2 linked regions of the Lepisosteus oculatus genome follow. The protein of the gene in region 1 purifies or fractionates together with the protein of each later gene. This does not show direct contact. Links are inferred from orthologs where the notes say so. Each region holds a gene or a part of one and is shown on either strand. Other genes may lie near its edges.

Region 1 (8,009 bases):
TTGATGCAATTGATTTTTGAATGAATCTGCCACCGACGCAGCTATTTTAGAATAATTTATTTTCCCTTTTCAGCACACAGCTGTTTACACAAGAACCTAAGCTGTGAATGCTCACGGCCTTCTCTGCTGACTGCAGTACTTGCTGGATTTTGCTTTTAAGGCGTAGCTGTTCGGCTATATTGCAGAAACCAGGGAACATGCTGTCCTTGCAATTGCCATTCGAATGAAGCCCACAATGTCTTGGAGACATCCTGGCTTGCAAGCCCAGTGGCACAGATCCAGCTGTTCCTCTCCACCCACCTCAGATATTCTCAGGTGAGCGCTGGCCGTTTAATTCCACCATGCATCTTATGTCAAAACATCTTTGTTATCCTGGACACTTCAAAAGCATTGTACAGATCAATATACCAGCGACCACACGCTAAACTAATTCTAAAAATCAAAGCCAGAGAGAACAGCTGCTTGGGACGTTTCTGGTAAGCATATAAGCAGGCACAGGTGTGTAGAATACAAATAACACAAAACAAGGTTCATGGAACCGATTGTGACTGAAGGAGCACGGTTTCATTTTTTTTTTTGGTTTGCTCCATGTCATACAGAACGTATGAATTCGCCTTTTGAACTTAGTGCGGATTTGCTTCTGCAACTCGGTTAATTAACCAGGCAAAGAACTTTCCTTCATATTTGCACTCCACATCTTATCCCAAAAAAGGTAAGCAGCATGAAACATCCAGCAGCTCGTGTTGAGTCATACAGAGGAGCATTCAACCCTGGAATGGTTGGAAATGCTTTAACATGGGGAGTGTTATTTATATCTCGGTCTCAGAAAATCTCAGTGTCAGTCTCCTGAGAAGCCTTTTTTTGAGTATATGGATGTGTTTAAGTTTTACAAGAATCTCTCCGATGATTCCAGGGCATATGTTCAATACATTTACCTTTTCCTTCATTCACAATCCAAATACTAACGCTAACCCTCAACGAACTTTATAGATTCTCTAGAGGAAACACCTAGTACCCTTTTCTTTGTGTGATATATCTCCACTTGCATGTGTGAGTGTGTTTTCATAAGACTGCTGCATGCACAGTTCTTGGTATGTTCCTGCAGAAGTTATTGTGACAATCTGTTGGGTTTTTTTCTGGTGTGGGGAGGGGTGCCGAATAGAGGGTGTCGCTCATTAGCAACACGTAGAGCAAACCGCAAAGTATCAGCAACAAGAAAACCACTCACCAAGATAATGTCATGATGACTAAGGAACGGAGCGACAGGAAAGAGGAAGACAACAACATGGACCTGCCCACCTCCTCCGTGTTCATTCATCACACATGGGCCCAAAATCTCAGGGAATTATCAGGTGAAGGGGTTCACACTTTTCCCCTCCCACTCTTGCAGAAGTAGGGGGTGCTTCTGAGAATCCCCGTTTCCTATTGGGGAGCACCTCATAAGCTTCCACACATAAAGAGCAAAAATGCTTGGCCAAACAAGAACAGGAAGGATCTGGTCTGTGTGGTCTCTCGACTGAGGGAGCTGAGTCCAAGCTTTACAATCAAATCTTATCTAAGATTATTATAGATGGGGTGCAAGTGCTAAAGTGCTCTGCACCTGTGTGGCATGTATGGACCCGTTAGTGGTTTTAAAGCCTGATCTATATTTTAGGCTCACATACACAGCATGCACTGCAGTATGACGGAGCCCAGTCCCAGACAACGTCCACAGTGGCGCCCACAGGGTAGAGTTCACCAAACAGCCCTCAGGTGGAAAACGCGCTAACCATCCCATTGCAGAAAAGCGGTGAGCGGTGACTTGCTAGCGTGTGAACATCAACCACACTGACAAAGCAGCAGCTATTGAGGGTGCCCGGGCCGTTTCTCACCTTCCGCCAGCGTCTCCTCCACCGTGACCTGGTGCCGTCCGACGCTGAACACCCTTCCAATGTAACTGCCGCCGCCGCCGGACCCGCTCCCGCCGCCTCCGCCGGCGCCGGAGCCCGGGCCGGAGCCGACCTGCTCCCGACGAGAGTCGAAAAACTTCTTCATCTTCCCCGGCAGTCGGACGACGGGACGGGGGGAGGAGGAGGAGGAGGAGGAAAGAAGTTCAATGTGCGAAAAGAGAAAGCAATCCCAAGGAAACGTCCCGGTCCGCCCCAGCCAGGTTCGAGCTCCGGTGTGAAGGCGGTATAACACTGGCAGCGCCAAAAGTGCCAAATCCGGCGAGTGTCCCGGCTATGACAGCTATTCAGCTGAACCTGAAAACGTGCCAAAGGGATCCTGTCTGCTTATGCTTTGGCAAAACAGCCCCTTGCAATACGGCTGTCACTTTCCTATCTTCCACGTAAGAAAAGCCCAAGGTTAAACTGGTTAGGCGCCCCAGAAGCAAGTGGCCGAATCCATGACGAATAAATAAAAAAAAAATAAAGAAAATTAAAAAGCTACCCCCTTCCGACGATGTCGCTAAGATGCTCAGGCGTTAAATACAATTATTGCAATAGCAAAGCTAAGCGATCTTTTTTTATTCTTTTCTTCCCTTCTCAGCTTAAAACAGCGTCTTCTCCATTGCTTCCCCGGAGCCTTGGTAAATAAGGCATGGGTAGAGACTCATTTCATCACGCCAGCCAGGGATGCGAGCGAACTGGTGCAATGATTGTGTAGCTTAAAAAAAAAATCCTGCCCCAGTTCGGATGCTTGTTTCTATTCGAAAATCTCTCCTTCCAGCCCTGCCATCAGTATGGTATATTTATCTTGTCTTTCACGATTTCTTCAAAGCCTTTTCGGCCTCTTCTGTGGGGTTTATTTTATGTACGAATTCCCAATTAACCAGAGCCCTTTTTTTCCCAAACCCCCTCTGGTTTATTTCAACGTCTAGGTTTGCTCTTAAAAAACAGCTGAGCGGCTCGTCCCCATACCAGGAAATACAACAAAACAGGAAATGGAAAAAACAACTTCTCCACTCTATCGCATTTTTAGGCCTCGGTGCACTGAGATTCACTGCAGATACGCGATATCGTCTTTCCTAAAATCTGAAAATAAAAATAAAGACGATAATCTGAATTACTGTCACTCCGCGGCGAAGGATGGTAATTGTAGTCCCGGGCTGGTTTACACCCACTGGGTGAGGAAAGTAGGAGCGCAAAGTGACAACTCAAGAACTACAACTCCCATCCGCAATTAGAGTCGATTAAACATTTTCCTAATACAATTTTAAAAATAAACCAAATCATTGTACAGAGCAGTATGCGTGTGTCGGCCTCGTACAATGCATTACATTTCAAAAGTAGTTTGAAATACGATGTTGACAGAAATCAGCCCCTTTCTCTCAAAGCATTGTGGTACTCGTAGTGTTTTTTTGCTCACCAGAAAAACTCTGGATATCGTTTGGTATCGACTATCCTTAGAAACTTTCTGAAGCGACATGAATAGGTTGTAGTGTAGTCCTCAATTCATAATATGTGTATATATAACCAACTGGGTATTGTCGTTTTTGGTGTAGATGTTGCAGTTTTAACAGAAAGGCCACATCTTGGAATGAATACTATGAATGAACGAACCCGAGACTATCTCTTTTTCCCTTTCTGTCTGATCTTCGCCCATGACCTTGGGCGGTCAGAATTAATTCACAAAAATGCAAACATTTTGAGCCATTTTGCCTTCTAGCTTTCACGATGCAGTACATCAATAAATGACTGCGCATAATCTATATACTGCATATATTTTAAAGTCATAATTCCTTATGTATATATGTATCTGCATATAACCACACAGATGCACAGGCATACACAAAACATCGATAGTAGAAAATAAATATTGCACTAAAATAACGCATTAATATTCACATAATATATCACGATATAAAACAAAAAAAGTAATAGATGTTTTATGGTTTTAATTTCTCAATTAAATGAAAACAATATTAGGATACTTTTAAGTATTAATTTTAAATATAATTTTATCTGTATAGCCTTTTCTACCCCCAAAAGAAGTTCTGCACATATAGGACTAGATTCATTTCAACCAAGAAGTGCATCACGTTCTCTCTATATCCCTTTTTATATTCAGATGGTACCGTACACTAGAGCACGTTATTATGACAGTCACTCTGTCTCATGACCGATTACAATAATCAGGATAAGAATTACTTAAATGATGCTATTGTTGGTGCTACTATTGCAACTGACCTGAAAAGGGTATAATTAGAAATAAATATTATTTTCCACATCTCCTTCATGAGCAAAATGTTCCACACTGACATGATAAAAGAACTGAACGTTTATAGTTTTGAACACAGAAGACTAAAACGGAATGTGATACAAATTTTCAGAATCTTCAAGGGATTTTACAAAGTCTCGCCCAGTGGACGTCTTCAGAATGAAGAGCAAAACATGAACCAGAGAACAGAAGACTGTTTTATTTACCCAAAGGGTGGTGGAAGAGTGGAACAAGCTATCTGGCTGAGTTGGTGAAGCCAATACGCTGGCTTCATTCAGGAAACAGCATCTGAAATCCCCAGATCAATCAACTACAAATGAACAAACAGACTAGTTGGGCTGAATGACCTCTTCTTGTTTGTAACCCTTCCTGTTTTCTTATAAACATGCAATTTTCCTAACTGGATCATTAAAGTATCTATATAAAAATAACTGCTAGGTAACAGCGTAAAACGTCCTTAAGAGGGAGCCATCACATCACTGCTTATGTTCTGTGTTGAGTAAAGGAAATGGCCTTTGAATTTAGTACACTATACTTTTATTCTTTCTGAATTATTATTAGCAGTATGAGGATCATCAGTAGTTATTAATATTCCAATATTTGGAATGTTAAATAGCCATATACCTAATATATTCCTAAATATATATATATATTCAATATAATATTGAAGTAGAACAATGTAGTCATTCACTTAGTCATGTATAAAGTAAACTGTAACCTAAACATTACTATGTACTTCATTAACAGTCACTGAAATCTTATTTCTTTACTGAAAAACAGTCAGCAATAAGCAACTCCTCTTAATCCCTACAGCTAGAATTCTTTACTTCTACGACTCTGACTTGATTAAAAGCAACACAAGACCCATGCTTCTCAGTGTGTCAAGCCTATTCAAAACAGACTGGGAAAATATGAAATATTAATTCTGGGGGGGGATATCTCAAAGGTATATTGAGGTATTCATTCCAGACCAGGTGGAGCCTGTGTCTTTGTTCTTTCTGTGGTGTGTGTGTGTTTTTTTTCAAAAAGCATCTCATGCAGTCACAGTGTGCAGTTCCATTCAGTACAATACAAAAGTGTATTTCCTACATGGATCACATACATTAACAATGGGGACTCAGGCTCCAGTCTGTGACTTGTATAGGGTTTTCTAGTTTTTGCCCATCTCATATGAAGTCTCAGTTACGTCATTAATCTAATTATAAATAATGAGCTTTAATTTATTTATATCATACGACTGGGGACTGTAGTCAGCAGTCCCAGGTAGCTGGATGCGTTTTTAATCTTCTATGTACTGTATTACACGCAATATTTCAAAGTAGTTTTAATGCACGTAGTTATGTGACATTTTTATTTGTGTTATCCGGCAAAATTAATAGTCTGGATAATAATATAAATAGCATTGTTCTAACTGGTACCAGGGAAAGAGGTCCATGAAAACAGAATCTGATTAGTGCCTTGCACCTTGTGAGTGAGTTAGGGTGATCCTTAAAATGATGCATGATAATCTTTATGTACAGTATCAGCAGCCCTTCTACTCAACAGAACTGGAAGATAAGTGAGCAGATTGCTTAATCAATTTAATTAAGAGGGAACATCAAGCAGGCCAGGTTGTCTGACAAATCCAGAACAGAATAACATCTTATCTCAACTTCCCACAGCACAGTGTCCCAGGTCACTGTAATGGGGCATTGGTTTTTAGAAACTGTGGTTTAAAAAAGAGTGGAAGAGTGCTGCCAAGATCACCATCCGTAGAGCCTACCCTCAAATACCGTGGTCTCCCTGGATGGGAACATACAAGAAAAGGCCAGCGAGAAAGTGTATTTCTCCATCTCCTTCACCACAATCTAAAAGTCAACAGCTGGAGTCGTGTCACACAAATTGGAGTACCTTTGGCGGCCTCTACTGGTAGTCCCTGTGTAATTGCAGCCTGTTCTTATGCAGACCGGTTACACCGCTTCCAGGAGTCATCAGGTTTTCCTTAAAGATCTACCATCATGGTACTGACCACACCCAGGCATGTTTACCTTCTGTGATCTGACATTTTAAGACTCTAAGAGCCTGTGATGTTTGGTGGTAATGCTTATTTACCTGGACTAGACCTTCTTCTCTATAACCCTCTTTCCTATTGAGATAATTTTCTTCAGCTTGACCATCTTCTGATAAGACTCCTGACTAACAGCTCTTATAATACAGCTGGACTGCAACACCTGTCCGACAAGCTGCCTAGCCCGAGCCTCTTTTCGTTTTGGTGATTTGTAACAGGCCTTCGAGCTCCAGCATGTTTAAAGGAACTCTCTTGCTTTCTCTTTTTTCTCTGTGAAGAAAGTCTACAACACACTTGAAGTATGAGGGATAGATCATTGACAAATATGATAAAAATAAAGCTCAGAAAAACAGTGTTAAATAAATACTTTTATATTGATCTATGTGACAATTACAATTACAAGACAATGCAGTAAGTAAACAGATTAGACAGATTAAACATTTTTTACTTGCAGTATATGATATATGGTCTGAAATGTGAAACAAAACTAAAATATCAGTCATGGAATAATTCATTATTTTAAGAAGTACTTTAATACTGCTTAAAGTGGGCTATCCACTATCTACTCATCTGTCTAATCACTTAATCCAATTCAGGGACACAGGAGCCAGAGTCTATAAAAGTGGACTGTTTATTACTTAAATACTGTATGTATTCAGTCATTCATTTAATCTTTATTCTTAGACTGTCATGTTGTATCTTCAAGTGATTCCAACATTGAACATAGTTATGCTAAAACATTGATATTGTCCACATAAAAAGCTCTGTATTGACACAGCACAAGTAATATCACTATTAACAGAATGATATCAACTACCTGTAAGTGTAGCACGTGTCCAGCCTAGGCATGATGGGACAGGGAAACTGATTATTACAGTATTTGTTTAAGGGTAGTTTCTTGCTTTGTTTTGCATATTCAAACCCCTAGGACTACTTTCGTAAGCTGCTTGTTGCACTCTACATGAAGAAAAAGCATTTACCTGTTTATAAGAACAAAAGAAAAGCCCATTTAATTTATTTTTAATGCCATTTTGTTTTAAGAGTTTTATTCATGGCATCAGATTCAGCAAATGGCTTGTTTCAGACTCCCTCGACATTTTTGTAAAACTCTTGTTCCAGATCTTTAATGCCTCATTTACTTTGCACTTGTGTTCTCTGGTCTGCATTTCGTGGATCCTCAAATCCACTTGTCTGGTTTTGGGAATACTTTTCAGGATTCTGAAAGCTTGTCGCAGGTCCATCGGTAATAGTTTCTGAGGCAAAAGAGATTTGATTCCTTTACCCTGTCTGTGAAGGAAACTCCCTTAAAAGTGCAGAATTAACCAGGTCAACAACTCCACATGTTATTGTGGGTGTGGTGCTATACAAGAAGGAGAATTTCAATAAAGTACCAAACATTACAGCAAATAATGCTTTCTGTATTGTGCATCTAGAATAACCTTTAAGAAAACTATTGAGAAGTCTGATACATTGTATACACAGTTATAGAATCACAGATATACTGTATAAAGGGACACCCTACTGTCAGGTGGGGAGCTGCTAAAGTGCATCTAATGTACACTGCAAAAAACACATCCATTCATTTCACTACATTTCCTTCATGTCACTGTGCTAGTATGCAAAAAGGACACCCTTGTGTAAGGGATTTGCATCCTCATCAGACTGAAATAGTTTTCTACTAATAAATCATTCTCAGAGACACTGGGGGACATTTACACATTTGCTTTTATAGGGCGACAAACCAAACCATAATGCAGTGTAC
Region 2 (8,000 bases), on another chromosome or scaffold:
CTCGACAGTCTCTCCTCCTACCAGCAGGGGGCACTGACATCCACACAGCCCATCTTTCAAGTCACGGCTGTCTCACCTCAGGAGCTCAAGGGCAAGGAGTCTCACGCCAGCCATCTCCAACAGGCTCTGCCCGCTGAACATAAAGCTCAGTCAAACAAGCGACAAAAACCCTCAGCAACCCATGACCATATTGCACATTTTAAACATATTAAACTTCACGAAGTACAACAAGCAGATTTTCACAAAGCACTGGCACTGGAATGGCTGTCCCTAATTTGAATGACTATACTGCACTCCGATATCGCTCGCACAGTTTTCTGTACCCTGTACTATAATAATAATAATAATAATAATAATAATAATTAATAATAAAAAGTTGTTTACACTTGTATTGCACTTTTCTGGACACTACACTCAAAGCACTTTACAGGTAATGGGGATCCCCTCCACCACCAGTGTGCAGCCCCACCTGGATGATGCGACGGCAGCCATAGTGCGCCAGAACGCTCCCCACACACCAGCTCTCAGTGGGGAGGAGAGCAGAGTAAGAAGGCTCCACAACCGAAACGTTGCGTTTTCTCTCTTCTCTTTTCAGCAGGGAATAAACCTGTTACTTGTTCCTTTGCAGACTACGCGTGCCGACGCAGCTCCCCACCTGATCTATTTCAATAACAATAATAATACACGAAATACCAATAACACTCATGTGACAAAACAACTATATGTTTAAGTGTGGGAATGTTATTAGCACCACTGTATTCCAGAATATCACTGGGGAATTTCAGACTATACATTTATTTCAAATGAGTCATAACCACCTGAAAGGAAAATTGCACACTTCCTAGGCGAGGAAATGAATTCCAGGCCTGGGTGGAATTGAGGAATCTAGGTGTAATGGCATGGTACGTTTTAAGGAAAAACATCGTCATACAGATCTTCGGGGTCATTTGCTTTCCTGGAGCAATAGTTATACTACTGCTTTTCTGAGAACAAAGTGGAAAAACCCCATCAGAACTGTTTCAGCCCCCTGGTTTTCTGAATGATGGTCTGCAATAACAGAGGCTCTGCTTCCTGGGCCTGTCCTCAGGTACGCTGCCCAGCGTGTAAAAACAAACCCCTCTGCAGTGTGGGCCGTAGCGTCTCAAAAACGCTCATTTCTTTACGTAACAAAACCCTTTTTCCTTTTCACTTAGACTCTCCCGCTCCTTGTAGTTATTACTAAAAGAGAAGGAAAGAATAATCTGTCATTTCTGAACGTACCTAGCCAGAGTCAGGACTTTTCTGTCATGTTTGCTTCCAAACTTCATAACTGAGTCTGGACACTTCATCAACCACTGCTGTGATCAACAAACAGGCTTCCTCCAATCGCATTTTTTAAACAGTTTATGAAAGAGGTGCTCATAAAAATGAGGAAAACGTAGGCTTACTAGATGATACACAAACTACTTGTGTCCTGTCGGCACAAAACTGCAGAAATGACGGAAGAGACAACAGTCAGGCTCCCAGAGAGAGAGAGAGATCAACACCATCAAAAGCCAAAAGCTTCAATCAGTTTACGGTGGGAGTATCAGAAAGGACAACACGGTCACAAAAAAGGCAAGTCTACAGCCCACCATAATATCTACACGAGGCTTAAGAAATATTCGCGAGCCGGAGACGACATCCCTGATTAAGTCAAAACACACGGAGAAATGTGTAAGGGCTCGTAAACCAATCACCCAGGCGGTTATTCTTATTCCAGACGTTTCTGAAGCAAAATGATCAGGATGCTTAGAAGTAAAATCTTGCGGGTTTTTTTTTGTCCCGACCAAACAAGTGGATTACCCAAGAAAAAAAGTTGTTGTTTTTTTACCTGGCTGTGGATGCAAAGCTGACCTATTTGCTGCAGCACGCCGTGTCAGATAACTATATATATATAAAAACCGTCTGTACAGCGAACGCAGAATTCCTGCTACACGGTGAATCCATGCAGATCGGGTCAAGTTGACTTCAATTTCCAGCAAACTGCGTCAAGCGACACGTCCCCCTGACCGGTCCTTCCTGGAAAGCAGAACTCGTCTGGGAACGAGCAGCAGCTGCCCCCACTCGGGAAGACAGAGACAGAGACAGACAGAGACAGAGAGACAGACAGGGACACACACAGACAGAGACAGGGACACACACAGGGACACACACAGACAGAGACAGAGAGACAGACAGGGACACACACAGACAGAGACACACGCTGACAGACACCCTGCTCCTGCTGTCCTGGGCTCTCTCATGAAGTCACACCTCAACTGCGTGGACCGGTGTCAGGCGGCCAGGGGAACAGGGACAAGATGTCACACAAACTCATCGCGAACCCACTTTCACTCGAAATCCGCTTTCCACCCCCAGCTCCTCCAGGGACACATCTATTTCTTTTCTTCTAAACGGGCACCTCGGCGACATTATACCCCACCACCGCAATCAGACCGATTTCTGCTGTTACTTTTTGGGGTTACTCCTCTACTGTTACTCAGCGAATTCGTGCGACGAGCCTTTCTTTTCCTCCCGACAGCTTCACATAAACTCACAACAACAACAACGACGACACGATCTCCCTCTCCCCGTCCTGTCCGGGGGGGTGGAGGGCTGGAAAGGCCGGCGACAGACACGTTTACTGTCATTACCTGCGCAGGAAGACGCTTTTAAAGAAACGTGTATTAAATAAATGATCACGCACTCCCAGCCACAGGACCGACGTTAAATCCTCCGGTCCCACCAGCTCGTCAGACCCAGGGCTCAGCTCTGCACGAACCGAGGCCCAAATGAGTCTCAACACAGGATCCGCCAGTCCGCTGTCCTACCCTGCCACACGAACATCGTTTTAAACCTAAACTTCGGCGCGGCTAACGGTTTCTTTTCTCTTCTTGGTAAAACACATATTAACTGGCGCTCCTGAAACCTAGAAACACAAAACTAACAACCAACCTGTTTCGGTGAATTGCAGTGGGTAGCTGTTTTTCCTGCTGTTTTCGTACACACAAAAAACCCCATGTGAGCATGCGCGGTGGATCTTTGGGGGTGGCACTTTGGGATTTGTAGTTTTTCGATGTAAAACAAATGGTTAACGTTTACTGCTGTAAACTTAGAAAAACTACAGTATCCATATGCCCTCTGTGCTGTGTTTTTATATATATATACAGTAAACTATATATAACTTTGATATACGTTTGTAGGTTTCAACGTCAAGGAAAATGTTACTAAACGGCTCCCTTTAGAGCAACAGAATCTAAACAAATTACAAAATTCTTAATGCATTTTGTAATTACATATGCTGTATTAGCTAACTAGTTCACGAGTGCAATATTTTACAGGCGTTTAACCACTTACAACAATTGCTAATTGCTAATTGTCCTGTTTCTTTTTATAGTGCATTTCTTGTTTTATTGTACATTTGCTTTTTTTTTTCATAAGGGCCTGACTCTGCTAGTGGGCGCTGTCAGCTTTTCGTCGAATAGTTCACCCAATGCCTACGTTCGGTGAGTTTCTTGAAGCTCCTGATGAGGTGTTTTTATATATACATAAATAATACCTTCTAGATTTTGAATTCAGGTGTAAGCACCCATGTTTATGACGATCTCTGCAAGATAATAAGGGATATTTGGAATTTTAACTATTTTCCCACATAATGTTTTAATTTTTTTTAAGGCATTAGAAAAATAATGCTAGAGATAATAAACATACTGAATAATATCTTTAATAGCAGTGCTTTTTAATATGTGCACTGGGGCACATTTCTAAATGCTTAGTTTGCTCCTGTGAATTCAAAATTATAAAAGCAAAGCCTGAAAATGAGAAATGGCACATTGCCAGAATAAAATAAACATTTTATTATGGCGAGATTAAATGAGCATTCGTTTACTAATACAATTTTAGTCACTAATAATAACTTGAATTGATCTCTCTCTTTAGCTCCAAATGTCCTGAAACACCTTGCGTGTAGAAAGGACTTCATCCACACAGGGACACCTGGCAGTCGTCACACACCAGCAGCCCCACCGGTGGAGACATCAGCAATTACTTCACTAATTTAATTAAGGCAAAACTGTAGGTAGAGCAGAATGTAGCTGCGCTATGGGATCTTTAACCACCAGATGGTTACAGATCTTGGCTTAACATCTCATCTGAAGCTCAGGGTCCTCTGTCACCATGCTGGGTCACTGGTTTGGAAATCCTGGTCCACAGGGAGTGTTGGAGACCCACCACCATCACACCAGCAACCCAGTTCTACTCCAGGCCCGGTCATTGCTTCGTTTCCGGGACCCCACAGTGATACCAACTTAACCTGCGCTCGTGGTCAAAACCATGTCACCCTGACGCTCACTGCTGGGAGCCCACTGAAGCTCAGCAGGTGTGAGCCTGGTCAGTACCTGGATGGGAGACTCCTGGGAAAAACTGCTGCTGGAAGAGGTGTTAGTGGGGCCAGCAGGGGGCGCTCACCCTGTGGTCTGTGTGGGTCCTAATGCCCCAATATAGTGACGGGGACACTGTACTGTAAACAGGCGCCGTCTTTCAGATGAGACGTAAAATTGAGGTCCTCTCTGTGGTCATTAAAAATCCCAGGGTGTTTCTCGAAAAGAGTAGGAGTGTTACCCCTGTGTCTTGGCCAAATTTCCCCCTCATCTTTACCCATCATGGCCTCCTAATAATCCCCTCTCTGAACTCCGCTCTCCTCCCCACTGAGAGCTGGTGTGTGGGGAGCAGACTGGTGCATCATCCAGGTGAAGCTGCACACTGGTGGGGGTGGAGGGGATCCCCATTACCTGGAAAGGGCTTTGAGTGGGGTGTCCAGAAAAGCACTATACGAGTGTCACAGTTCAGTGTCTGTATTTCTCCGTGCGCACCAGTGCGTGTCCGTGTTTGGCACGTGCCCTCGTTCAGACAGCCGCCCTCTCTCAGGCTCTCGTGCTGCTCCGGGGGGTGGGCTGTGGCGCCCGCACTGCTGGTGCGGAGGTGGGGGCGCCTCTTCCGGGTTTCTAGGCGAACCCATCACTAGGCCAACACCACAGTCCAGAGCCGGCTCCTGCCGGGAAAGAAGGGACAGGCAGCAGTTTCTTCCCTGGGACAGCAGAGAGTCCTGGTGAGAAATCCATCTGGGAACATGAGGATCGAGAGATGTGGAAAAACCCCGAGCTGTTCCTGGAAGTGTGCAGGAGTCGGCCTGCCAGCCCAGAATCAACCCCAGAACCCACGAGCTGTGAGACAGCGCCACCTGCCTCAGTTTCCTCACCCCCCAGAACACGTTGATCACTTTCAAACCACTTTTTTGGTAAATGATATTCTTTATTTACAGCACAAAAGAAGAGACAATTCAGATTTTTCTCACAGAAAAGATGTGAAGCAAAAATGTTTAAGCACAGTCGCCTCCGTCTGAAATGAGTGTTGCTGGGTCATGCCTGCTAGCATACAACGAGCCGGAATAAATTGGTCAATATGTTGTCGCAATGACACCAGTTACAGTCACCACCAGAAAACCAGATGAAATACACACAGAGCAAAGAATTCATATTTCCCAATACATTGCAAGCTACCCTGAACACTGTTGCATTAATGAAATGCATCTACTTCCCTGTGCCAACTCAAGAGAATCATGTGATCTTACCCACCTCATTCCTCAGAGAAAGGGTCCTTTGTAAGGCTTCTTGGCAACCAAAGGAAAAACTACACAGCGATACTTTCGTTTCTATTCAAGTGAAGGCTGGCATCATGGTAAACACTGAGAGCTGAGCATGTACGCCAAGCAGTATTCATTTTCCCAGCTGAAGGATGTAATTTGCTAGCAACACAGAGACCTCACTTCAGTCAGCTCTTTTATCTCACTGCTGGGACCCCTGTGAGGGACAGATGAACGAGCAGGAACTATTCCCGTTCACGGAAAGAGTTTGGTCTCGTTACTTGCACGCTCTCACAGTGGAAATCCCCACGGCCGCCGTTTTTTAAAGGCCTCAAATCAAAGAAAAAGGCAGAAAAAGCCATGTAAGAGAGTCATAGTTAGACAAACTTGCAATGAGTGGCAACTAATTATTGTCAACACAGAGAATACCCACCCTCCATGATAATGCTCTGTTGGAAGACAGACCACAAGAGAAGTCTGAAATGACAAAATTATACATGGACAAAAATCAGGCAGTGGGATCGAAAATATTGTGATGCCGAGAACATCAAGCCCACTTTGGTTTATTGTTAGATTTATCGGTGGAAGAAAGTGCTTTATTTACAGAACTCCTAGGGTATACGACTATAAAATTCTAAAACATAAGAAAGGCCTCAAACAAGAGAAGGCCATTTAGGCCATCTTGTACATTTGCAAGTTGGGCTGCTGGTAGGGGATTGAGCAAAGGATCTTGTCCCAACTGCCATTCGAGCAAGAAAAAGAGTTAGAGGAACCCTTTCAATACTCTCACAATGCTTTGCACAAAGTAGCAACTCCTGCTCTTAAGAAATAAGATAAGATCACTTTATTGGCCCTATACAATTTCTTGCATTAGGAATTTGTCTTTTCGCATACCCCAGCTTGCTCTCCATGGCCCTATACAATTTCTTGCATTAGGAATTTGTCTTTTCGCATACCCCAGCTTGCTCTCCATGAGACACACAGACAGGGAGAGAAGCTGGGGGTCAGAGCGCAGGGTCAGCCATTGTACAGCACCCCTGGAGCAGTTGGGGTGAAGGGCCTTGCTCAGGGGCCCAACGGAGTAGGATTCCTCTGCTAGCCACAGGATTTGAACCGGCAACCTTCCAGCCACAGGCGCAGATCCTGAGCCACAGAGCCACCCCTCAGCCTCTCGTTCTTGGGCTGAAATACACTTTCACGTCATTTCCGCTTGTGTCTTCAGAGAAACAAACAAAGAAACTACTCAGAACATTATGACTCGGCTATGATAATAATCCACACCAATTATAAAACAGCCATAAAAGCAATATTTTCTGCTGTTTCATCCAATTCGGAACTCAGAACTATTCTATCTCCCATCATATAACTGTTAAGACAAACACCAGCACCCTCATGAAACCATCAGAGACAGGAAAAAAACAAAATGAACAGGCTGCTTATGTAAACGATGTGGGTGTTTACCTAACACCCTTCACACCTTCTATTGCCATGTGAAAGCAACGGAAATGTTAGGATATATGGTTAAAAGTGGAGAACTTAAATTAAAAAAAATGCTATAATAAAACTGTGCAGTGCGCTATTAAAATGTCACTCAGAATATTGTCTGCAATTGTGGTCACCATATCATAAAAATCGATATAGCTGGAGAAGAGCAGTCGGATACATTCTGTGGCTTGAAGGAATGTCCTATACCGGCAGACTGAAGGTACTGAACCCATTTAGTGCTGACCAGAGCAGACGTGACACTAGAACTCGAAATCCTCAAAGGCACTGACATGGTGAAACCAGCCGACTTCTTCAGAAGTGGGACACGAACCAGAGGACACAAGCAGAAACTCCACGAAGTGCGTTTAAGACTGAGAGCAGGAGAAACTTCTCTACCCAGAGGGCCGTGGGAGCATGGAACTACCTTGCTGAAGCCCAAACCCCTTAAGATCCCTGGAGTCGCAATCTAAAAATCTCAAAGGACAAACTGGATATCCTCTTGTCTTTACATAGCAATAGAATTGCCGACATTTTTCTGAACTACTGAATCCAAGTGTGCAGCAGAGGTTTAGTGTTTTGCCACATAACATTCGTTTGAACCTGCTTTTGGTTGATTGTTTCAGTTAAAACAAAACAACTTAAAATCTGCTAATTTGGAACCAGCTGCTTTTAACTTCACAGCTGAGCTACTGAGAGCTGTGCTGCATCACTCTGACAAGCACAGTTTACAGGTGACATAGTTTACCAACTGATACACAGGTTTTCCTCACCAACCGTGGGACTTAAGCTCTTTAAAACTCCTGTGATGGGCAAACGCTTGAGTACAAGACAAACTGGGGGTCAGGGCCTGTTGAGCCATGTTACTCATCAATGG

The links. The genes of interacting proteins can lie anywhere in the genome.
Region 2: the proteins of aak1b (region 1) and ralbp1 purify together in Homo sapiens (affinity purification with mass spectrometry; 3 studies listed by BioGRID and IntAct, counting the BioPlex papers as one, with this or other methods). This does not show direct contact. The link is inferred for Lepisosteus oculatus from reciprocal best matches to the Homo sapiens genes AAK1 and RALBP1.

What each region holds. Positions count from the first base shown.
Region 1 is NC_090697.1:72,603,541-72,611,549, forward strand, and holds the start of aak1b (AP2-associated protein kinase 1), read right to left. Parts: upstream 3,043-8,009; 5' UTR 2,035-3,042; coding exon 1,872-2,034; intron 1-1,871.
Region 2 is NC_090701.1:56,498,242-56,506,241, reverse strand, and holds the start of ralbp1 (ralA-binding protein 1), read right to left. Parts: upstream 3,046-8,000; 5' UTR 2,956-3,045; intron 1-2,955. UniProt on the Homo sapiens protein: Multifunctional protein that functions as a downstream effector of RALA and RALB. As a GTPase-activating protein/GAP can inactivate CDC42 and RAC1 by stimulating their GTPase activity.